Caenorhabditis elegans: one gene and its partner. The protein of the gene in region 1 interacts with the protein of each later gene in a pairwise test. Each region holds a gene or a part of one and is shown on either strand. Other genes may lie near its edges.

Region 1 (11,708 bases):
GAATCAGTGGATTCTAATGAAGAAACCGCATTGTTTCCAGCAGTTGTTGATTTGACCATTTTGTAGATGAGCTAGCGATATATCACTGACTTGAATCGGAGGAATGAGGTACGCAAGATGGGTACGGGTGGGCGGAGCAAGAAGACAGACCCCGCAAGGGAGGATAGATGCGGGCAGGAAAGGTTCACGATGGTGGGAGGATCTGTGTAGACTACTATCCGGCCTGGAATATGTTTTTGTTGTTGACATTATACTTATGTTGAGGTGGAGATTTTTTGTATAAAGACAGGCTGTAAAACTGGAATGGCAAGGGGTTGTAAAATTGATGATGTGTATATGTACATGGTTATCCAAAAATGTTCAAAAAAATAGACTTCCGATATTTGACTTTTTAATATGGGTTATCCGTGAAATATGCATGGCATCAGAGTTTGAGGCAAAAATATAAGTATAATTTTTATATTCTCAAATAAAGTAACAGGATTATTCACTTACAATTAGTGCTGCGATGTTTATTGAAACTTATTATCTGACGTCATAAAATTTATTCAAATACTATTGCTACATAAGTTAATATGACTATAAGAAAGTTTTTTTTTGAGTTTAAGATACTTTTCTAAAGAATCCACTAGTATCAACACAGTAAATCACAGTTCAGATACAGTCTACAAATGTTTATGAATTCTCGGTATACGAGTTCCCATCCGGACCATCCCCCGCCATCAAAAACTAGCCGCTTGCCGCCCTGTCTGGGCATCCCGACGCACGGCTTTCGCGCAATCACCCCTCTTCGAAAAGATGCCGACAAACCCGTGCCGGACTCAATTACACTTTGTTTAGATTACAGAGTGAGCCAATTGATATCATACGGTAGAGACATTGGCATTATTGATGCACAGAAATTAAGGGATTTAGTTGTGAATATTTGTTGATTGTGTTCCATTATTTCAAAAAATGCTTATCTACATTTATATTTGATAAAAGCAAGCATTGTTTTCTGACATCTTGCTAAGTAGAGAAAACGCCTTATAATGAAACTGGAAATCAATCTGTGTAGGTGTCTCTATCTTAAAAATTTCCCACGAATTTGGAATATATGTACTAAGTATTTCTTATGCAATCTTTTCAAAAAAAAAACAGTACTAAGAAAAATCCATGAAAACTACCTAGAAAGGCATCCAAGTCTGGTTTGAAAGGTGTTCCTGTATGGAATGTTTGGTACTTATGGGTTTCGTTCACATCAAAAAGTTTTTGCAGTTTTTGAAATGTAACGTGGTTTATTTGGAATTTTAGGCATAGTTATGTTATTTTCTAAATCCTGAAGTAAAAGTAGATATATTCAGTGTTAAAAATGTTTCAAAAACGTTTTTTGGGGGAAAAAAACCTATATGTACAGTTTTTCCTTTCAATTTCACATTTCACATACGGTTACACCGAGTAAATCATCTAATATAAACTAATCACATTTATGCAAGGTTTTATCAGTTTACACTACTCAATTTCCATAGCACAACTTTTTGCCTCAAATTCCAGTCAGTCGGTATTTTGCGTAACTCTGCCGTCAAAACGAGCGCAACCTTTTCCCTCTCATCGCGCGCTACTTCAAGTACGGTGCAATATAAACCGTCATATGCTACTCGGCACCTGTTGATTGCATTCAAATCTAGCCCCGTTAGGATGACTGAAAGAAATCCGCTTCGACTCCTGGGAAATCTTCAAACAGTGTATCAAGTTTACAACCAGGTCGTAAATTTGCCGCTAGTATTGATCATTAAACGGCGGAATAACAGCAGTCAATAAACATTCAAATACTTGTTTGAGTCGCTTTTGAATTATAGCAAAAACTGAGAGGGGGAACCAATTGCTCAAGACTCCAGGCTCAAGGAACTCTCATAAACTTTACGTTTGTAGTTGTAAAACGCAACCGTCTGGCAATGTGTCAGGTAATACTATCCGGTGAGGAGGATTTATTAGTTCATGAGACTCAGAACACCTCTCGACAAGGATGTGTTTGTTTGCTCAACTAATCTTGTGAGAGCAAAAACATGAGAAAATGGAAAATACATCAAAATGATGTGGTTAAATATTTTTGACAATGAATAAAACACTAAAGTTAGAGATATTTTATGATAGTTCTCATGTAAGGGTGAATATTTATACGATTTTAATGAAAATTAAGGCATACATGAGATCTTGAAAGTTTTACAATATGGTTTTTTTATTTGTTAGTATCGCAGTAATATAATGAGCAGACAAAGTACATTAAATTTCTGATTTCCGACCACCGTTCCACTTACAAGCCAGCAAAATTGAAATTTTTGTTGAGCATAGATGTAAATTTTTGAACAATTTTTGAGGCGATCTGCTTAAAATTAAGCTATTCAGAGGTCGAGCACCGACCTAATTTTGCAGCACTACTGTTCAAAACTAACTTGCGAGCGTATTTAACATAATTATTTCTAGTATAGTTTTTTGGTAAGCTGCCAGTTTTAATTATTTTGTTTCCCATAGAATTTGTTCAACTGTTTGCTTAACCGCCGGCAAAACAACACAGACAAACGGTATTATCCAATTAAGGATACGTCCAAATAACATCTGATTACGTCATGATTCTTGTTGCGGCAAAGTTGTGGAACATGTGCCTCTACTCATCGTCAAAAATGTAAACATTGAATCTATTATGATCTGGATTACAATAATTGGCATATCGTTCACCGGAGTGTTAATCTGTTTTGTAGGTGCCGACATTTGTTCCTATTTCTTATAATATGGTAAATTAGGAACAACGAGAGTTGTGGGCATCTTGTCCACAAACTAGAGCTTCAGAATAACATTATCATAAAGCCGCTGCAAAAAAATATAAATTTTTAAAAAATCCATTTATACAATCAACATCTTGAAAAGTTTCACATAATCAATCTTCCCTTTTCCAAAGGCTGCTGAAAATTACCATAGTTGGTGACGGACTGAGACTTTGATGGTTCTCGTTGAATTGTCGAAAGTATTAGTAATTTTAGTTTTGTGCCTCATTTCACCACTCGTTCATGGGTACAGTATTTTTTCACTGTGATGTGTTAATCACATAACTATTTGTTTATGAGCGTCTTAAACTTAAAGTTTTTGTAAATCATAATCTTTCGTCAGTCAGTGAGTATTACAATTTAAATTCCAGACAGATATTTGTGGATATTTGTGTTCTAATCCATGTTACATCCTTGATAACGAGTTTGATCCCAAATATTTATAAATAAGATTTTTAAATTTGTTTTAAAAAAATCTGAACAAAAATATTTAAAACTCAGAAAATAGATGATTTTTATATCAAAAATTAATAATCTGTTGAGAAACCAATCGAAAACGGTGGTTTCAAGAAAAACCACTTTAATATAGGTTTTACGAGTCTAAATTAGGTTGATCAGGAAGATACTCAAAAAAATTTCACAAAGGTCCATTTACATGTCAAACTTAATTTCATCGTTCTCATTCAAGTTTTCCCCTTTCAAAAATTACGTCACTTTTAAATTACGAAATTGTTGAACCGAATTTCTCTGAAATTGTCTCGTCGTCAGTTTACTGATTATTTTTAAAGTCTTGACATTTACCTTACAAATAATGAATAATGAAATCAAGTTCATCATCGATGATGAGCTCGCATTCCCTCATTTTCTTCACACCCATCGCAAAAATTCAGTCATCTTGCAAGGGCACATGATAGATAACAGTATGATGTAGGAGAAACGAGAAAACGTTGGACGCGCCCCTGAAACAAGAGCAAACAGGCACGGAAACAGAAGAAAGAGGACGAGAGACGGTAGAGAGCACATTAAAAAACGAAACTCGGCGCCCCATTGCTTTGTTCATTTCATTTGACAGTCTTACAATTTGACCATGTCACGCTATCACGTCCCCGTTCCTGATTATGACTTTACCGTCAGACAACAAAAATACGTACCTGCTAGAAACCCATATATTCCAACCCCAGATTATACTCTGAAAAATCAAAAACAGAAAAACAGACCATCTCTGAATAATATTGGAACAGAGTTTGCACCACAAAATGCACCTGAATTCTACGAGCTACCTCCTATTTATATTCCAATTGAGGTTCCACCACCAGCACTGGTAAAAGAGCAAAGTTCCCGAAGGCCCACTAATTCAGATCGTCAATCGATTTCAAAGCTTCCTGATGAAAATTATAACTATCCCGAGGTGAGATTTATACAAATTTGCAAATTGGTTTTGATTGCTAATTTACTGAAGTTTTGAAAGAAAAAGAAAAATGTTATTTGAGTTCTAGTCTAAAAAATATTTAAAGTTAACAAATAACAAATTTTCAATGACCACTAGAAAATTCCTAGATTTTATTTTACTTTTCAAAAAAGTTTTGGAGACTCACTAGCAGCGTACTATTTTTAGAGCTTGGTTTATTGACTGTAGAACACCTGCTGTCTCACAAAAACATGCTCAATGACTTGTTGACGTCTTAGCTTGCTTTTTCAAATGTCATCTTTCCTATTTACATTTCTGGAACAATTCGCTAACTTTTGTATTCTTCTAACTGTTCACATTTAGATCAAGCAACATTCATATATGGAGGACCGAAATGAGGAAGAACGACACATTTCCACAAAAGAGCACATTAAGCAGATTGGTGTACCAGTGCTTCCGGGAATCGCTTCAGCGATACTTCCAATTTCAAGTCTTGAACTAGCAGGTATGTATTTTGGTTCCAGGACCATAAACTTTTATTGCATACTTAGATAAAAGACGGTGGAGTTTGCTCGATCCAAAAATTCCTTTTTTTTTTCTTTGGAAAATGCCTTGTTTGAGTGGCCGTAAAATAGTGGAATTGCTGATAAGTCGTTGCCGTCAGTCTGGCGTCTGAACTTTTCTCTACGTCTACCAAACATCTGTGCTTTAACATTTTGGTAGAGTGAAAAACTCATATTTTGCCTAACTAGCGCCTAATTGACATTTTCGTGAATTCAGGTCAGTATCACTCTTCGTTCTTACAGTTGTTGACAACTTCTGTGGTTCAGCAAAACCAACAGTCATTCAAACTGATAATTAATCACCAGTCAATCATTTGATCAGACAACAAACAAGCGAAAGTTTATTTTTCAGCAGCACCAGTAGCAACCGATCAAAACAGAGCATACCTCCGTCATTTAGAAAATCACAAAAAGTTTGACACTCTCCGCGGTGACCGTGGAATCGATGATTGTGAAATTTGCCAAATTATGAAGAAACAACTAGAAGCAGAAAAACAAGACTCTGGGTACGTGTTAAGAGCATGTTACTCATGACTAGACGAAACTTGTCTGAATAATCATGTGGTTAATCTCCAACGGAATTTTGATTGACCTAACACAGCAGGAACTATCATGTTTCGCGTTTTCACGTTTTGTAATCATGCCGCCTGGCGGAAGGAAAAAAAAAAACAAATGTCGACTTTTGTCAGCGGCCACCTCCAACACCTCTAATCACATAAGGAAACAATGCAAAATTCCGATTGCTTGCTCATCACTTCCTGTTTATTCTTTCAGACATCATTCCTGGGAAAAACCACAATATGCTGGACATCACGTAGCAAATCAACACTCAAGTTCGGGTAGTGGAAAGAAAAGAGGAGATGTGTAAGTTTGTGGAAGTTTAGTTTATCTAAAAAGAAAGAGTGCAAATAAATATTTATGAAAATATCCGACATTGCAATATTCTGACATTTGTTTTTAACTTCAAAAATCTGAACATTGTAAAGGTTTGAACATGCAATGTGGCATTACTCCAAATTTCTCTAAAAGGTAAAAAATTCCCGAAAGTTTCGTATTATTTTATTACTTTCACTGAAATTGTGGTATTGTGTAACCCAGCATAGATTTATGTACATAAATTGTCAAGTACGGTATCACCAAGATGTTTCTGATAAGTTTTCTAAATAGTTTACAAATATCTGAAACTTCATTTTTGTTCAGTAATCTCAGATATTTTTTGCAAGTTTTTGGCAGCTGTTATATAAATTATTAAAAACACCTTTGCCAAATACTGAGTAAAAACCCTACTAGCTATAATGCCGGACTTTATTGTATGATAAAAATTATAATGAGATATCCAATTAAAATTCAAAAACTGGCATATAAAAACTCATAATTTATCAAAGTTTTTGGCTAAACATGACTTTTCAAATCGAATATTAGTTTTATATATGTACTGTCAATTTTGTGATTAAAAATTTATTTATATTTCAAAACTCTATTGAAACAAATTTTCTTACCAACTGAGTTAACTTCATCTGCCTTAAAAATTTATTTAGAATCTTGACAGGTGGTTCGAAGTTGTTTTTCAACATTTTCACCCACATCTATTGAATAAATAAGAAACTTTTGTATTAGAAAAAGTTAAATCAAATACATATATCTGAATTTTTGCTTAACGAAATATACACGGAACATTTATAAATTCAATAAGTTGCCAGAAAAAATTCATGTGAAGTTGCGTTGTTGGAAGTAGCTGAACTATTCTCACATCAATATTATAATAAGGAATCTTCTTGATTCATTTTTTGATGTTTCTCTAATTCCAATACATAAAAGGGTGGTCTGATAAGTATTGAATATTTTTTTGCTCAAGATAGTAAGATAATCACGTTCTGCTAAAACATTATCAAAGTTTAAAAATTTGGCATTTTATTACCTGCCTGTAAAATTTGTAGATGTTGTAGATTGTGGTATGACGAAATTTGCCGCAAACTGTCGTTTTTTAATTGTGAAGAGAACTTCGGACTTTTAAATGCGAAAAAGTGGATTCAATTTAAATATATAATTACTGAAGGGTGTCAGAAGTATATGCAGTCAGTTATCAACACACATTCAATCCTGACCAAAATTTACAGCCGCGACATATTTCGGATTGAGGAACAACCAGAGCCCGAACCATATTTCCGTTCAGTGAGTGCTCGTGCTCGCCATAACTACGAAAAACACCGAGACGTTGATGTCAGCATCCGAGCCATGGAGCAAGTTGATGTCCGTTTTGTTTTCTTAAGAGCCTTAAAACCTTAACAAAGAGTGTGCCCTAATGATAACAATTTGTTACAGATTCTCTACATGGAACGAGAGTTTGCACTGTGCCGTAAATCGGATAATACTATCGGATGGATACCTTCTTCAGTTTTTGAATTGTAAACCTCTCTGTTACAAATTGCGTTTTTTTTTCATGTGTGTTTGAATGATTTTTGTTCTGATTTCCCATCAAAGTTCAATAAACAAATGTCATAACTTTATCAACATTATTTACGAATTCAGCAATTGCTGTAACGGGGTTGGTGGGAATCGGGAAGACATAGGAAGCAGCAGAAACTATAATTTTTCACGGGAGCAAAGGTGGAAATGTACAACTTGGTGGTACTCAACAAATATAAGTTAAATAAATACTTCGATTAATTAAAATAAATTGATTTAAAAAAATAGCAAAATAATCATTGAGGTTAAATTATGCTTACGTTTTCTGTTGATTTTCAAACAAAAAGTTATTTGCTTCTACCAAGTCAAATGATATTGATAACTTAAACTACAAGAAATTAGGCGTTAAAATAAAAATTGATAAATACGATTTTTACAAACAAATACTACAGAACTGAGATCAATTGTTTGAGATGCTTTTGGAAATTTGGAAGATGAGTTTTTTTTGATTGAAGGAAGATAGTAAAGCGATGTTTCAGTTGTCCCATAATCCGCCTAAAACGTGGATATTTGGAATAAATGGAATTCAGATGATAGACTCTTCACCATTTATTGTGAAAAGAGCTGGTTCCGCTTTTGAGCAATCGATGAACATTTGAGGCAGTGGCGTTCTGAAACTTTTCTTCATTTTAGTAAATTATTAACAATAATTTCAAAGCTGAGCTTAAAAAAATCAATATTTTAGAAAACTTGGTCATCAAAACCTAGAAACATTTACAATTTGAAATTGAAATACGACAAACTACAAAACGCGATGTTGAATAGTTTTAATATTTTCAAGATCTGTCATATGTTTTAATTTTTTTTTTAAATAAACCATGTTTCAAACTTAAAAATCATTTACCGTGTTGGTGTTTTGGGAACAGATGTACTTGTAGATGCTTCAGAATTATCTTGCTCCATGACTATTACAGTTTCTTGTGGTTTTGGAACACGAGGTGACTGACGTCTGGGTTTTCTAGCCGGGTGTCGTCTGACCGGCGAAGGAGCACGAATGTAAATACGGTGAATGGGTGAAGTTGGAGTAGGGGATTCAGACATATCTTCTGCGGAGAGATACATCGTGCTGGTTTGCACTGAGGTTCCAAAAAAAGGACTTGGGGGACTGTAGTACGGTGGAGGGGAAAAGCTTGCAATGTTGTTGTCCGATACAAAATTTGTAGGATTGTAGGCAGGAGGAGCATTTGAATTACTGAAATTTAATTATTATGCATTTTAGAAAATTTTGCTAAATAACTTACTCAGTGATTCTGCGGTCTTCAATATCAGCGCTTTCATCATAAGATGGAGGGTTATTCACTGATGGTGGTTGAATCAAAATGTTTGTGCTCTCCATTATGATTTGGGGTGGAGGAATTGGAAAAGGTGGAATAAATGTTGGTGTTTCTGGTAGATCTGAAATGTTAACCACATTGACATAAGATCCTCTTGTTTTTGCTAGTAGTATTATTTTCCATACCATATCCCCAGCCTGTCACCATTTTATTCTTATAATAAAACAAAATCTAATTAATCCACTTAGTTCACTTATTAAACCTCCGTGGTAAACCGGAGTAATTGCCAAGAGTAACAGACGGGTGTCAGGTTTGGGTGCAAGATGGCCATTGTTTTATTCTTGGTGTCTTCCAAGCAAACACTTGTGCTCTGCTATAATGCCTGGAGGGCGTGAGATGAGAAGAAGTAATCATTATATAGCCAATGATGTGAGCAGATGTCGTTCATTCTGTCAAGGTCGGGAGACCGGAGGCCCCCTGTACGCGCAAGAAGATGGGCACCCATGTAAATAGATAGTGTACGGTATTTATGGGAACAGATGCCAACATGAAATGTTGCCACTTGGTGTGACCCTATCCATGTGGGGCACTGAATATTGTGGATAAATAAATGAATACTGTCTATATGCGGATTAGAATTAATAGATTTGTCACCATATTTCCTTCTTCAGGGTATAAAGCTTCAAAATAAAGAAAGATCATATGTATATTAAAATTTTAAACTAAAGATGGTGTAGCATCAGAGCGGAAAATATTGGAATTTACTTATCTGGTGCTAAGTTTGAACAAATAGCAGGTTCAAAAAAAGTTACCATTTTTGTTCTATTTACGTTATAAAACTATTTAAGTTATAATATATTACAATTATAAATTGAAGGAAATTTAATTTTTGGGATACGGCTGCTACATAAGGACCAAATTTATTTATATTTAATCATTGCGAATGTTCAAACAATGCTTTACTTATCTTCAATACATCATTCAAAATTGACGTTATTTTTGAAGTATTTTTAAAATAATTGTATTAATGCGTTAACTAATGTTACTTCTATTAACTCCTACAATGTTCAGAATTTCAAATGTTACGCCACTCACCAGCACGGCGACAGAAACCCGACAGACGTGCGCTCCCTTCTTTGAACAGCAAAACGCTTTGTGCGGCGAGAAAAAAGACAGATGTTGAAGTGTATGTGTATTGTGGCATAAAAGATGGAATTACTGTCTGTCGTTCTACTGTGCAATTTCACAATCACTCATCCGCCGATTCTCGTAGCCCGATTATAGTGTGCATTTCCGCATGGAAAAGCCAAGAAGACAGAGAAAAATGCAAAGGAACCCTCTAATTAACGTCAAGTTTCTCCTCTCTTTTTTAAGAAAAGATTTATCATATTCACCCGTTGCTGGTAAAATTGAATTTTTAAATCTTATAACGCAGTCTGCACTTGTACTTCAACAAAAAATTTTAGAGATACCACTTACAAGGAGGAAGAGGTGGGCGATCAGTGAGTTGAAGATCGTGTTGAAAATTTGAACGAACTGTGTTGAGTACCACATCAGATTGACACGGTTTTTTGTCAGTAATGAAAAAAGTGAGCATGATTATTCCAATACCAGAAAGAACAATCGCAGTCACTGAAACTTTAAACCAACTCAGTTGACCGTTTAAGGCAACAATATATTGTATCTTACCTGTCAATGCAGCAATCGTCGCATCATGTCCTAAACATACGAGACTGAACAGTGTGCAGGTCAGTGCTGCCAAAATCACAATGATCAAAGTGACAATTCGAGTTGATGGTTGAAATGATGCCATGGCTGAGGATTTTACTCAATCTAAATGTTGAAATGAAAGGTTTGCCAATTGACTGCTAAGCTCTGAAGTGGGCGCGCATTGAGACGTGGCAAAAATAGTAGATTTGTGGAGGAGTGTGTGGAATAAATCGAGAACGGGGACTAGAGATCGGGAAACAAAAAGCAAAAAAATAGATGAATGCGAGTAGAGGAAGACAGAGGCACGAATCTGAAGGAGATGGGTCATAAATCCTTGCGAGCTACGGTATCCACGGAGACTAGCCATCAGTTTCAAGAGCTGACTGGTTGGCTTTTTCAAATTTAGAAAATTGAATAAAATATTTTAGGAAAAGGAAAAAAGCGAAAGAAGAGCCGAAGTCTTATTTGAACTGTGCATTTTCAAATCAAATTACTCTTGCAAAAAAATTCAAAATTGGTCAAAAATATATTAAGACGTTTCTTATAGCAAACCTATAAAAATGTTCACTTATTTATACCCAATTTGTCACCTTATCATCTTTGCAAAACACAACTAGACTCAGGCTAAATTTTTTCTTGATGGCTAAAAAAAAGTATAAACCTGGTTCCAGTCCATGACATATTTACAACTTGGGCAATTCATATCACACTTTTTTCGGATAGAATCAGACTTTTTGCATGAATCTCCAGGAAGAAGATTGAAATTAAAACACGTAAAAACAAAACAGAACATTTATCGTGTTTTACAACTATTTTTACGTTGGCATCTCTTCTTAAGCTCAAAAATTATGAAAAATATAAAAATGCATTCTCAACATCTAGCTCAGAATGGAAACAAAATGTAGAAGAACATGAATACTAACAAGCGAGGATCTTAAGAGGGAGGAGTCAAAGTGTCCCGCGCGCGATGAGCAACTGGCCTATGCACCCCGCGAAAACCGAGTCGCATGATGACAGATGGTCTTGCTGGACATAAAGGATGTGATACCAAATTCTTGACGCAAACTGTGTCATTGTCGTTTAAAGGGAAAATTGGAGAAATTGGAAGAACATGAATGTACACGCCTACCTACCGATACAATCCATCATTCAATATGATGCACATCTGCCCCGCAGTGCCTCGCCGGACCCCGCTGATGATGAATTTTGAAGCATCTTTTGTTTAGGCGTAATACGTCTTGGCTTTCAAAATCGCATTTGTTCCTTACACATTCCAATAACAAAATGACATTATTCCATCGTTCCCGGTCACGTCCTCCAGTTCTCAATAGCATTAAGAATACTATTGGCAGCACAAAACCTCAGCACATTACAGTGAAGCTCAGAGAGCTCATTTGCACGTTGGACAAATGTAGTCAGAATGCGGATTACAATTACAAAAAGCGGATAGAACCAACCCATTGCTTTTTCTCGTTTTTTTTTGTAT
Region 2 (14,148 bases), 2.1 Mb from region 1:
ACTCTACTTCATTCTGTAAATGTGCTCCATTATGCCGAAAATAGAACTTTGATTGTTTTCCTCCACATGTCGTAGTCCACTTTTACGTATATCTATTTGAGCTCAAATTTCTCGGAAATGATACTCCAAGTTGAATGTAACTTCACAGAAATTAAAATAAATCAACTTTATTAAATCAATGCAATATGTATATAAGAGAAAAGTGAAAGTGACTAGTGGTTCAAATCTGATTTTCATTGTCAATTGTATACGTTGTTTTGCCTCCCGACTTGTGCACAAGGTAAATATTGGTGAGCATCATTTTTTGACTTATTGCTTTACACATATCATAAACAGTTAGTAAGGCAATCTGCAATTTATTCAATAAAATATTATAATAATAGTGACTAATAACTTACAGTACAAGCAGTCAATGCTTCCATCTCAACTCCAGTATTTCCACTGCACCTGGCAGTTGAAATGCAATGAAGTTTTGAGTTTTCAATATCATGATTAAATACGGTGTCCACAAAATCAAGACGTATTGGATGACATAATGGAATCAGATTTGCAACTTGTTTTGCACCCAAAATGCTTGCAATCTAAAAATAAAAACGATCATAACAACATTAAAAATCCACTCTAAAAGTTTTACCTTGGCAACGGTTAAGACATCTCCTTTCTTGATGGTATTTTCAGATATTTGGCGGGATATCTCAGCGGTCAGCTTGAAAATGACAATTTTTTTAAAAAATTAATGCACATGAAATAAATGTTTTGTTCGGTCAGGAGCCACAAATTAGTATATGTTTCAAATTTGACTAAAGTGTGTGAACAAGAAAATAATTTTGTGATAATAAAATTGAATGGGTTTTAACACTACATATACAATATTTTTTGAATTAGCTGGAAAAAATACACATTTTTTTTTTCTTAAAAAAGAGTTGTGGATGTGGGGGAAATTCTTTTTAAATGTAGTATTCGTTTTCAAACTAAGAGGAATAACAAAATAAAAAACTGTAAAACGCAATTAAAATTCAGCATGCTAAAAGTCACGAATAACTTTTAAAATTTAAATAGAGAAAATAATAGAAAAAAACAAAAACAAAATGTGTGTCGATACTACAAAGATTTATGTTTTCATTGAATAAAATACTGATGTTACGATTTTCCCATTTTAAGTAAATCATGAGTTAAAAATAAAAGAATTTGTTCCATATGAGCATAATCTCATAATTCGTACTAAAACTTACAATGATTGTTCCTCTTGCCACAGCTGTTCTTGTGCTGGTATCTTTTTGAGAGACGTCAACTTGTTTTGCGTTGCCATTGTTGTCCACATGAGTGAGCAAATGAGTAATTGAAGACACTGAACCGAAACTATTTCACCGGCTTCAAAATTTTGCAAAAACTTACCTGAGTAGGTTGTCGAGAAACATCGAATTTGAGAAATAAAAAAGTGACGAGAAGAATGCAAGTGACTATGATAAAGCGAACTAGATGGTAAGTGAACAAGTATAGAAGATGCGGATGTTACTGTAATAAAAATGAGATTCGAAAAACAGGTACCAAATTAATACCAGGAGTTAGCCCCCGATAAGAATCATTGGACGATTTGGCAGGTTCTTCAGAGCGTCCATTCCTGAAAACTGTATTTTTTTCCTACTCAAACAGTTTGATGGGCTACTTACCGGCATGTCTAGCTTTTTTGTTGTTAACGGCTTTTTGAATGACCTCGGAAAGCTGTTCGTCAGAGTCGCCACAACGAATTCTATCACGTAGACTTACTTCGGAATTTCCATGGAGGCATACCTTAAATTAATTGAAATTAACCAAAATTCAAATTCAAACACAAATGTGAAGGAAGGACACAATCGGGTATGTTGTTGAATGAACATTTTCTATTTGCGGGCTGAGATTATGCATAATAGCGGGAAATGTCAGTGAAAATTTTAGTTTATGCACTCTGAAATATTCAAGGTTTTTCCATATTCTTATTCAATGTTTTTTGATGTTCCAATTTTTCGAAGCATTAAGGTTTTGTGATAAATTTAGAACATTTATGCATGTTTTAAAGCCTACTGTTTTAATTAATATATTTTTTTAATCAATTTTATTAACGCATTATTTCAGGAGGTCTTTCATAAAAATGATTATGATGGTACAAGTGAGAAATACTCGCAAAGTTTTGCACTTTTATCTGAAATTCTCCAAAATGAAAAATACAACTTTTTATTAATAGACATTATTAATTGAAAATAAATACCTCAACGACACCTCGTAACTTCCTATAGACTAAAGATTGAATGCAAGCTTTATATAACTTGAAAACAAGTATTAAAGGTGTTAACAACGAGTTGAAAAGAAAAAAGGAACCTGAATGTTAGGGAACGAGACGAAATACAAAGGAGAAGAGCAGAGAGCACAACTTGTGCAGAGCGGCGGCTGGGCGCAAATGAGGCCAGGTGGAGGAGGCAAGGCGATGACGAACGGAAAGGATCGCTTCGCACAAAATCTTATGTTATACATTACATTTCGTCTCTCTTTCTCTCTCGGACACCCAACATTCACTTAGATTTTCGAAAGATGAGTTTATTACTGGCAAAGAATAAGAATGCAATATGATGAGAAAGGAATAAATACAAAAAAAGAGCGAAATCAATTGCGTCCTTGGAAGTGCCACGAAGGACGACGAATGAGCTATTATAAGGATGCATGATGTCATGTGAGAGGTTTCCGTAGATATTTCCTCCCAGAAAGATAAAATCAAAATAAGATTTATGAAATGAAAAGAGGAAGTCACTAGAAATCAACATGTTTATAAAACTTAATAATACATTAATGTTCTTCCGGTAATTTTCAAACTTTACATTTTTCAACTACTTACTTTCAAATTTCCATCAGCTGTTATTCTCAGCCTATTGCAAGTGTTACAAAAGTGATCTGACATCGAGGTGATAAACCCAAATTGTCCTTGGAATCCATCAATCTTATACGCTTTGGTTGTGTCATTCGGTGAGTCGGATAACCGTATTACACCATCTCCGTATTTATCAACAATTAAATTAAGCATCTCTCGATAGCCAATGAAATTGTCATTTTTGAACTCATTACCCCCAAAAGGCATGAACTCTATGAAACGGACGTCTAGGTTACGATCTTTAGTAAGATTAACAAAATCAACAACTTCGTTCTCGTTTTGGTGTTTAAGAACAACTACGTTTAACTGAAAAAAATTATGGATATTTAATTGACAATGCTCAGAAATTGAGACTCGACTCACTTTAACTTTTGGGTAGTAACCTCTCGCTAATTCAATTGCTTTCCAAACTTTATCAAATCCGTCACGTCTTGTCATTTTGGCAAATTTTTCACGATCAAGGGAATCAATACTGATGTTTATCTAAATTTATTTAACTTTTAGAAATTAAGTTTTTGTTGAAATTTCAAAAGTGTTTTGAAAAGCAAAAAGAGGATTGGATATGATTATTTGATTTGCTTCCACAAGTAATATTGTGGAAATGAATCGATAAACTTTTTAGGCAAACATGAAAACAAAAAGCACAAATGTCTCAATAATTTCCCAATTCTGATTGAAAAACATGTTTACTTTTGTCAATCCGGCATCTCTCAACTGTGGTAAAAATCTCTGCAAAACAAGACCATTTGTAGTTATACCAACTTCTTTGATTCCTGGAGTAGATGAGATCCCTTCTGTAATTGAATATGCCATGTTTCTCCACTGAAGTCATATTTCTACAATAAACTCACCAACAATATGCACAATATCCTTTCTAATAGTCGGTTCACCTCCTGTCAGTCTAACTTTGTCAACGCCATGTGCAGCGAATAACTTTACAAGTCTTAATACTTCACTGTTTGAGAGCATTTTGTCTTTGGGCTTGAGAGGAACACCTTCGGCTGGCATGCAGTAAAGACAACGGAAGTTGCATTTTTCCGTTAGCGATATCCTCAAATAAGTGTGCTCTCTCATAAACATGTCAAAAAATGGTGGCTGGCCTTTTGTGTGTTCAATCTGAAATTGAACGATGAACGACAAGTGAACTTTCAGAATTTTCTTATATTTTCTTATCTCTTTCTCTGATTTCTGAAGCTCATTTGCACAATATGTTTAAGAATACCTCTTGAATTTTTAGTCTGACTGCTTCTCTTTTTTGTTCGGGCGTCAACGTGAGTATTGGTTCGGCATGTTCTCGTAATGGAACAGTTAGTTGTTTTACAATTTCTTCTGTTGACGACTTGACCCGTGACCATTGAAATAACTTTTTTCCTGCTCGACAACTCATCTGTAATATTTATATCAAAACACTTTTAAAAATGCGGTGCGATTAATTTATTGATTAGGAATTGAGAAAAAAAACAAAACCTAGAGAAAAGGTGTAAAGTAAACTCCAAGCAGCACATTGTGGCTCTCACGCTCAAACATAAATCGTGGGCGTTGAAACCATAGAAAATGCAAAACGGAACAACGGGAATGTTTTGTCATCATACAGGTTGATGGGCACTCTACTCTGCATTGGTGATTTGCAATTCAATTCCGAAAAGTGATTTTTGTGTCGACGAAGGAGAAAACGAACGTGTTGCAGAGAACAAAAAGAAAAAGAGGGATAGAGGCTCAGGAATTTTGGACTTTATATATCAGGAAATGTATTTTTAATGAAAATGAAATATCATGATTCGGTCTAACGATTTGAAAAACTCAGTAACTTTTGAATGTCAATAAAAAATTTTTATTCCAGCTGTTGAAAAGTGTTACTATTCTATTTGATCATTTTGGCATTTTATGGATAATTTTTAACAATTTTCTTACTGTCGCTACTCCACCTTAATTAATTTCTGATGCAAGTTATTAATTTCTGATGCAAGTTATCAATGTCTGATTTTCAAATGGTTCGTGAAAATAAATCGAGGTTTTATCATTATCTTTTAATCAATATGATTCTGACGCTAGAAACACAATATTTCTGGAAGAGACAACAACATTGTTTGTCAAAAGATAAACAAGCGAATATATTTCAGAACATTTGTGTGCTCTTGACTATCATTTCCTCATAGTTTCTAAATCAGAAGGAGTGTTGCCATTATGAGTAAGTTAAATACCGTGTCCCAAAAATATAGTGTACTCATAAACCCCTTTTTTTAAAGTTGTCACGTCCTCCAAGTGTCCCATCTTCCAAACATCTCTATTTCTCTCTGTCTTTCTTTCTGACGTGTCTTTTTAACTCTTTTGGTGACCCCTGTAATTTGTACATTGTATAATAAAGCATAGACTATTTGAGACAGAGAGAGCGATGTGAAAAGGGCACTTGATACAACGTAAAAAAAATTGTTACAGCTGGCATCTTCAATCTGGGCGCTCGACGATCTTCGCTGATTGGGATGAAACTATGGAGATGGAGAGGTGAGGATTTTTGGGGTAAAAATATTCAATCAATTTAAGTGACTCATACAAACACAAAAAAATCATGTTATCAAAATCCATTCAATAATAAAATTGCAAAAAATAAATACGGAATGTTCCAATCTGCCTCCCTCATTCCCATCCCATTCCATTCTTTTGTTCTGTTTGTCCTGGTTTTCATCGAAATATTGATAAACTCCAATGGAATCTGCAACTGACGAGTTTTACTACCAATCTCGCATTCCACCACAGCCATCCCCTTTACCAGCTCAAACTCTTGAAATTAACGGTCACAAATATGTTCTCAATCATCGTTTCAAGAGTATCAAGATTGGTAAGTATGGTTATACGTCCGAGTGATTGGCAAACGACCTCGGGATACATACGTTTTGTTAGCCGGATAGTTACGACGTGTTTTTTTGGAGGGAGAAGACGAACGGAATAGAAAACTTAGACATTAGTCATGCTTGTCAGTTGTGTCGCGCGTCTCTTTGTGCCAAAAAACTTCGCCACATGTTAAAAGGTTGGTCAACTTTTGTTTGTATCGAGGGAAATACTGAACTTAAATGCAACATTAATATTTTCATAGAATAAAATGTAAGTATTAGTTTCAAAAAGTTACATTTTAAAGCTTTATAATTTGCAGCTCAATTTATATTTTCAAATATCTCTGAGAAGCATGTGAAAATATAACTTTCATTTTGAGGTGTTCGTAACATTATATAAGTTCTCGTCTTCTGAACACTACCTAGAAATTTAATATATTGTTGGAATTGGAGTTGGAAATGTTGGAAATCATGTGGGGATGCCCGAATGTAGGTGTCCCTGTAAGACAAAACTAGGCAAATCAATAAACACGATTTTTTAAGTGATAATGTGTATGTATTGTAGCTTTTACTTGTGAATTAATTTCATAAGCAACTTAACTTAACTGTGCTAGTGGTATTTTTTGTTTAGTTACATTTTCCTAACAATGATACACTTATTTTGATTGAGCAAGATGCTCAACATATTTCTACTGTCTTTGATGTTTCACATGTATAACGCAAATTTTGAACATACATGTTCAAAAAATCATTATTTACTCACTTATTAACAACATTGGTATGACAATGTAATTTAAATTGCGGTATATTAAATCAATAATTTTTTATGGTTTAAAATAAGTTTTGAGTTTTGACTACTTCTCTAAATTTTGAATAAATTACAAAACGAGTTACTTGTAAAGATGCCGATCAACTTTTGTAGCACAATAATTAAAGTTGTCCTGTACTTTATTCATAGCTTTATTTAATTCTAAACAAATTTTATTTTACTTCACGGGTCAGTGTTCAGAATTGAAACAATTAAAACAAACTAGAGTTCAATGTTTTACTAATAACACTCACTATCAGGTTTCTTTACAAGCTTAAACGATGCGTTTTTTATATTTTTATATTATTTAATTTCAAATTATTCAAATGTTGTTCAAAAAGTTGCATACGGCTTGTCATTTTTTTTTGTCAGATGTCACCATTCTCTGTTGTCACGCTCTTAAAATTGATAGTGTCAAAATGTCAACAGTATTTCTTCACACAATCAGAATAGTCGCTTCAGAATGGCACAAAAACTTAAAGTAGGCGGCGATTTTTGGTTTTGTTTCACACTCTCCCAATCTGCCAGGTTTCTCGCCGCTTGGCGCCGATGCCCGGGTAATGTACATAATCAAACGCACGCAGCATACCAAAGTCGGGGCTCTTATCACTTGCACAACGCTTTTTCAATAGGTGCCTGCCGCACTGCGTCGTTTCATGAACTTGGTTGTACGCTCGCCTCATTTTCTTATAGAGTGTACACTGTTTTAGGCGTTTTGCCGGCATAATGGCCATTATTTTACTCCAAAAATGAAATATTTTTTGTTTCATTCCTTTCTTATGACACATGTTGCGGTGATAACCATAATCGTTATGATGGAAAGTGGAATTCAGGAATGTTGGCAAACAAAATGACTTTATAACACTATTTCTTCAAAAAATATAGATATTTGTGTTTTATTGATTTAGGTTCACCGTCTTAGGGTTTTTTTAAGTTCTATAACTTGTTTAGTTGTATATTTTTTATAATATTTAGTGTCGCATGCCTTTAGCAATTAACAATATCAATAAAGAAAGTTTCTCGGATGGCAAAAGCGTTATCTACAACAGACCAACCCTGCCCATAAAATATTATAAAACTTTTCCCGCAAAAGTAGTGCATTACTTATGAAAATTGAATGTCAAACAGTTTGCAAAAAGTTGGTTTTCAGTCTCTCATCGGTATCCACCAATCATCCCGATGTCGGTCGACGAACAAGCGGTACCACCGGAGGTTTCGCCTTCAATGGCTGCCAACATTCCACAGATGGTCCACGATCAGCTAGCCGCACAGTTTTTGCCAGGTACCTCTTGTTTAGGTTAACATACACAACAAAATTTCAGCGGCAAAAAATCTTGGGCAAGCCGGAATGCATCTACTGAAAACATATTACAGTAAGTATTTTTGATCAGAAAACAATAAGTTCTCTTACACAGTATTCTTTCTATGCTTTTGTTGTATTTTAAAAAACCTGAGAATGCCTAAATTGTGGCTCGAAAATAGCGGCAACAGGGAAAACAATCGGCGAAGAAAGATATAGGTTCCTTCGCTACGAGATATTCCCGCGCCAAAACGGTAGGCACTCTCATGATCTCATGGTTTCTTAATATTGTAAGAGATGAGAAGTAAAAAAAATTAGAAAACGTTACTGCAAAAAGTTGGCAAATATACGTTGAAAGTATTATAGTTATCATGGTCGGGACGGTTTGTAACAATGGCTCAATAATGTGAATAAAATATACTCAGCTCATCCCATTTCTGTGTTAATAATTTGTTTATAACTCAATTCAGTTTGTATCGCAACACATGAAAACATGTGTAGTTGAAAGACGCATTCATAGAACTCGAGTTTTATATTTTCATAGTTTGTGCCTAAAAATTCAATGACAAAAACTATATTTTTTGTGAGAGTGGAAATTGAAACATTTTCGTTTGCAATCCATATCAATGTAGGTCAAGAAAAATAGCTTTTCAATAATCACATCAAGTTTTCAAGATGACAAGAGTATATAAAAATTTGCAATTTTCAGTGTTCCAAGAAGCATTGTCAAACTATTGTGATGCCACTCACAAACTTATCAAATCAGCTGATACTGCTGGACACAAATCGAAAAATGAAGCTCGAGAGCTTTCAAAAGTTTTTAAAGAGTTTGTACAGGGAGTAAATGCTCATCAAAAAGTCGTAAGCATCAATCTAAAGAAAAGTTTCGCATTCAATATATAATTAAACATAGATTACGGAATTTGACGCGCTGGCACACAAAGTTCATGACTATAGCAACAAGGAAAAAGACAAGCTGAAGACAGAATTTGCTGAGTACAAAGCAAAAGAAAAAAAACTTCTGAAACGCAAAAATGGAGAAACTGAACAAGATATTACCGCGTTCCATAAAAAAGAAGCAGCCAGCTGGGCAAAACAACAGGAAATGAGATACAAATTTTTCAATGACAAGCTGCAATCCTGGATTCACGGGTGAGTTAAATGTAATTAGAATTGTGAAAATAGCAACATTAATTCAATTTCTGGAAAAAAAAACTCTCATAAAATATTATCAGATACGTCGAAATTGGGAAATTATTCCAAGCCCAAGAAGTGATTGTTCAGCCAGCAGTTGGGAGTGTGATCGCTGCACCGGTTGAAATTGAGACCATACCAGAAGACCACAAAGATTGGCATCAAGATTTACATGAGCATGCCGCCGTTGTTGCAGCTGAGGAAATTAAAGAGAATGTTGAAAAGGTAAAACACAATTTAATGCGTGTATATCATATTAAATTTCAGAAAGTAGATGAAGCTGTACAGGACAGCCGCAGCAATTCGACTTCATCGGTTGCAACAACGCTAGAGGATCTTCCATCTTCTCGTCGTCTCACAAATGACGTTTCCGGAGTCACACTGGTTAGTAATTATCGCCGTCAATCAATTGAGGTTAGTTGAGGACTAATATGTCATGTGAAGAAATGTTTCAAAGTTGTTATAAGTCAATATTGTGTATAAACAATAGGTCATAGTTACATTAAATCACGTACATAAAACTTATAATACATACGTTTCATTTTGTATTAAAAAAAAAGAACACTCACATTTTCAAAGTTTATTACTATGTGTAAGCCATCGGACTAGTTGTAGGATACTTAAAATTTGAACTGTTGAAGCAAGGAGGTATTCAAAATTTCTCCTATTTTGAAAAATTCGCATCTGCAATAACACTATTTTTTAATGTTTGTATAATGTCCGCATGTGCTATTAAATTATCTAGGATAAAAATCAATAAAAAACGCAACATTTTGAATTTTAATTTAGATTAAAATCAGTTTATTTATTCATAGTTAAGCCTGCATGAACTTTCAATCAGCAACACAGTGTTTTCAAAATTTAACAATAGAATTCAAAAATGTTTGTAAACATCGAAGCAAAAGTCTTTAATCGAAAAAAGAAATATTAGCATCGTTTTGTCAATTAGATTTTATTGAGTTTTCACTTTGGTTTTGAAATCTTGGCAATCTTTCTATCACGTTTTAGAAATGTTACGCGAATTTTAAAAGGCTGACTGAAGAACAACTATTTTCACGTGTTACATAATTATCAAAATTTTTTCGTAACAACTTCACGTGTTTGTTTAATGGTAGAATAGCGACGTATGAATAGTTGCTCTATTTGACTCAAAATTACCTCACATAACATTACTATATTTTATTTAATCTTTCACATAAAGTTTTTATCAAAGATTTGAACTGCAGTAAAAACATTTCATATTCTTATTATGTATTCACAACGTGCCCCGAATTAAAATACCATGCATTGGTTTTTACAAACAGTAAATGCAACTGGTTTATTTCGAAGAAAAATTTAATTGCCGTATTAATTTCAGATTCAACAACTTCCACCCAACAACAGCTACTCCCACATTGCTCCACCAGTCTTGCCGCCAAAACCAGTTGTCGAAAACCCCCAATATGCTCCGATTCGCGCTCAACCAGTTCCAGTCACACGCCAGGAGGAGAGCACATACGCCCCTCGTCATAATGTTGTCGCCGAGGTAAGCATCTGGTGTAATCATCTTTTCACTCGCTATTATTTGTCCATTTTGATAAAACTATGCGTTTCCAGCAAGTGCCTCAACAGCCGGTTAATAGCGCTCCAGGTGGTGTCCGCCGTGCTGGAAACACAATTCCAGGTGCTGTTAATGTTTTCGGATTTGCAAATCAATCAAATCCTCAGCCAAATGTCCGCTACACGCCTGTTCAGGTAAAAACTATTCGTGTAATTTTCAATTTTCAAGTGTGATAATCCTTCAGAATAGCACGCCTTATCAAGTTGTTACCAGCGATTATATTCGCGTTGGGAGAGTCGTCGATAATCCAGTGACAGAGGAGCAAATGAATGCTAAAAAGTGAGTACTCACAAGAAATTTGAAAAAAAGAACGACATATTCAGATTCCACGTGGATTCTAGTTACCTTCCAATGGCTGCTCCATCTCACCAAGCACAACAACACAGTCGCAATCATAGTACAGATATTTCGGTTCCATCATTCTTCAACCCATCACAATATGGAAGTATTCTGATTGTTAACGATGATTTCAATGCTTCTTCCGGAGAACAGATGACTGTGAATCGTGGAGACAAGGTACCAAAAACTTTCTAAATAATTTTGAAAAATTAAACTAAAACTTGTTACTTTTTGTGACGTCAAGAAGAAAACAAAAAGAATATAAAACTTTCAAGCAAAACGGCAAACCGATAAAATTTCTAACAACAGACCGGTGCCCTAAAAAAGTGGTAACATTTGCCTGTATCAATATTTTAATTTGACACTATTATAGGATTTGAAAGCCTACATGAGTAGAGTTTCATGAATGTTTTTTTTAATCAAAATCAATTTAAGGTTATTAATTTTTTATCAAAAAAATCTTAGCATTGGTTCGAGATATTTAATTTATGGAATTCGTTTTTACATTCAAACAAGTCCTTACTGAACATTTGTCTAACAGGCTCTTTGTAATATTTAGTATTGAATTAGAGAATACTTGCAAAACATAGTGTAGTTGAAAACTATGTTGATGTTGTTCTTTGTTAGATATTTTGAAACATGCATTAGTCACCTCCACAATTTTATCACATCTGATTAATTTCAGGTAATCCTCTTAAAATGCGGATCTCGTGGATGGGTGTTTGTCAGAGATTCGATTTCTAACCGAACAGGATGGGTTCCTGAGCCATATGTCAACCCATAAACTTTCAATTACAAAAAAACAACATTCTTGTCATTTCTCGTTTTGTCTGTGACTTATCTTCCCATATTTTCACCAGAACGCCTATTTTTGCAAATAACTATTTTGTGATTTCCTGTAATTCCTTGATTTATTTCCCCAGTTTTTAAATAATTCATTCTTATCCCAGTGGTCCAGTTTTTATCAATATTTTATTCACAGTAAATAAGTAATTAAAACACATGGTAAAGCAAAAAATATTATTGTATGGTAACATTTAATGAATTTAATGATTAAAGTCATGAATGTTGGTGTAATTCTTAATTAGAGAGTGTTTGGGAAGAATTGGGCAACCTGATAAAAAAGCAACTTCAGCAAAAAAAGATTCTCTGCCATAATCAGAACGAAATCAAGGTGGCATGATTACAGTTTTAGAGAAAAAGCAGCAAAACTTATTGGAATCAAAAATAATCTTGAATAAATTCGTAATGATTTAATATTGTTTGGAAACTTTTTAGATTTTTGTTGATCTATCATCAATACTAGAGGTGTAGAAATTATATATTAAAAAACGCAGCACACGTGTTTAGAATTACGGTTGGAATAAAAAAGGAAAAGAAATTCAAGCACTTAGAAGGCCATTATTATCCTCTTCTTTGCAGTTACGCATTGCTTCTTCCAAGAATCCTGAAAAATGCTGTTACTTGTATAATAAGAGTTAGTGTCGAAATCTATACCTCTCTTCATTTCACGGACAATGACAGTCATTAACTTGTTCCATCCCAGACGAGCCAAGCAATTTTCTCCGCTGTATACATTATTAATATCAGCAATCTTAAGAATATAAGTTTAGAATTGTGCAGTAATGTTGGAATCCTTAACTCCTACCGGGATAAGACTTGCATCAGTATCCACTTTTCCATTTGCAGTTCCATTGCTATTAGTATCCTCCTTTTCTTTGGAGCTATCCGTTGTTCCGGTTGTTACTTGATCAACTGTTACTTTTTTGAAGACAAGCCAGTTATCTGCTCCAAAATTGACTCCTCTGTAGAAATGAATTTGTCCAATACGATGTGCCATGTCAAAAACACTGGAAATTGGACAAAAACCGAGAGATCCGACTGCCGTGTCAAGGAAGTTCTGGATACGGTGCGCCTGGAAATCTCCTATTTTTTAAGAGATACTTGTATTATCAAAGCAACTTTAAATGTTTATTTTCTTGTATTTGTTGATTATTAATTTTTTGGTACAAAACTATGATAATGTCTTCAATCTGATAATTTCAAACTCTTTAAATGTTTGGAGTAACACGGAATTTTTTTTGAGTTGACAGGTAACTTCTATTCAAAATCTAAATTTAAACATCCTCACCTGTAAATGAAATTCCTTGCTTTGATTCAAAGCACGAATATCAAGACTTTCACTCTGAATACCGAAATACTCAGCAAACTTTGGACGTTTTTCAATGAGCGTCTGCAGAATCTTCTTTCCAACGTTGTCGGTTTTCGCGCTGCAAAACTTTGAATTCAAAAAGCAATTATTCATGGGTTAATGGACATCGATCAAAATCTAATACATGTGGAAGCAAGCCGAAGACGTAACGCGTGATGCTCGCATAATCGAATTCATTTTGCTTGTATCATTTTTAGATGATTTCTGGCATTAAATTAGGTCTGGTCTATGAGGAGTAAACAAAAATACATATTAGTTCAATTTTTTTCACATGTAATTGGCAGTTGTTTTGAGCTAAAAAAAAGATATTAATTTTACTTGCCAAAACGAATTTTCAAACTTATTATAATAGCTGCTAATGAAATTTTTTTAAAATAAATGTTAATTTGTGTTCACAGATTTTTTGAAACAGAAGAAAACACATGTAAGCCTGTTCACCTTTTGTTCAACTGGAGTAAACTTATGTAACGAAGTGAGCTAACAAATAAAAACTGTTATTTTTTAAAACTTTGAAAAAAAGTTTTCAAAGGTTTCATTTTCAAACTGAAAAATATGTTATACGGTTTTATATTTGCGCACAAAGGAAGAACGAAATCAGCAAAAATAACGACAAGGCAGATTTAATACCGTGTATGGCAATTAAATACCGTACGACTTACACACCAACAACCGTATTTTTTACAAGTTTGCTTTCACTATCTTGTTACCTTAAAAAACATTTATTTCAAAAAGTAATATCGAATGCGATACAAAACTGGAAATTAGGTTCTTTGAAATGAATAACAGAGAAATTACTGTTTAGCAATGTATCGAGAAATAATTATTTTTAATCAGAAAATAATACAAAATCTAATATGTGGTTGCAGAGTTCTACGCTTAATGGTCTTGCCAATGATTATCATCAACTTACCGCCTCCAAACGTCTCGAATTGCTGTCACTTCTTCATCGGTGATTTCTGTTGTCATTC

Evidence for each region.
Region 2: the proteins of T04F8.7 (region 1) and F49E2.2 interact in a two-hybrid assay, tested with the Caenorhabditis elegans proteins (one large-scale study listed by BioGRID).

The regions. Positions count from the first base shown.
Region 1 is NC_003284.9:11,673,078-11,684,785, reverse strand, and holds T04F8.7 (SH3 domain-containing protein), read left to right. Parts: upstream 1-3,805; 5' UTR 3,806-3,888; coding exon 3,889-4,209; intron 4,210-4,528; exon of another isoform or gene 4,529-4,572; coding exon 4,573-4,714; intron 4,715-5,124; coding exon 5,125-5,278; intron 5,279-5,546; coding exon 5,547-5,636; intron 5,637-6,889; coding exon 6,890-7,022; intron 7,023-7,094; coding exon 7,095-7,181; 3' UTR 7,182-7,279; downstream 7,280-11,708. Other genes in the region: hnd-1 (Hand transcription factor 1), read right to left, coding at 1-59; T04F8.9 (uncharacterized protein), read right to left, coding at 7,714-7,733, 7,785-7,849, 8,083-8,430, 8,480-8,633, 9,992-10,150, 10,202-10,325.
Region 2 is NC_003284.9:9,561,694-9,575,841, forward strand, and holds F49E2.2 (SH3 domain-containing protein), read left to right. Parts: upstream 1-5,602; coding exon 5,603-5,735; intron 5,736-7,089; exon of another isoform or gene 7,090-7,214; intron 7,215-7,342; exon of another isoform or gene 7,343-7,363; intron 7,364-7,685; coding exon 7,686-7,817; intron 7,818-7,857; coding exon 7,858-7,908; intron 7,909-8,544; coding exon 8,545-8,696; intron 8,697-8,748; coding exon 8,749-8,987; intron 8,988-9,070; coding exon 9,071-9,254; intron 9,255-9,296; coding exon 9,297-9,443; intron 9,444-10,386; coding exon 10,387-10,554; intron 10,555-10,625; coding exon 10,626-10,763; intron 10,764-10,813; coding exon 10,814-10,908; intron 10,909-10,952; coding exon 10,953-11,145; intron 11,146-11,653; coding exon 11,654-11,752; downstream 11,753-14,148. Other genes in the region: moc-5 (GTP 3',8-cyclase), read right to left, coding at 221-349, 399-581, 635-706, 1,233-1,348, 1,396-1,515, 1,560-1,628, 1,671-1,791, 2,867-3,205 and 4 more; glb-17 (Globin domain-containing protein), read right to left, coding at 12,351-12,415, 12,466-12,562, 12,611-12,883, 13,100-13,238, 14,091-14,148.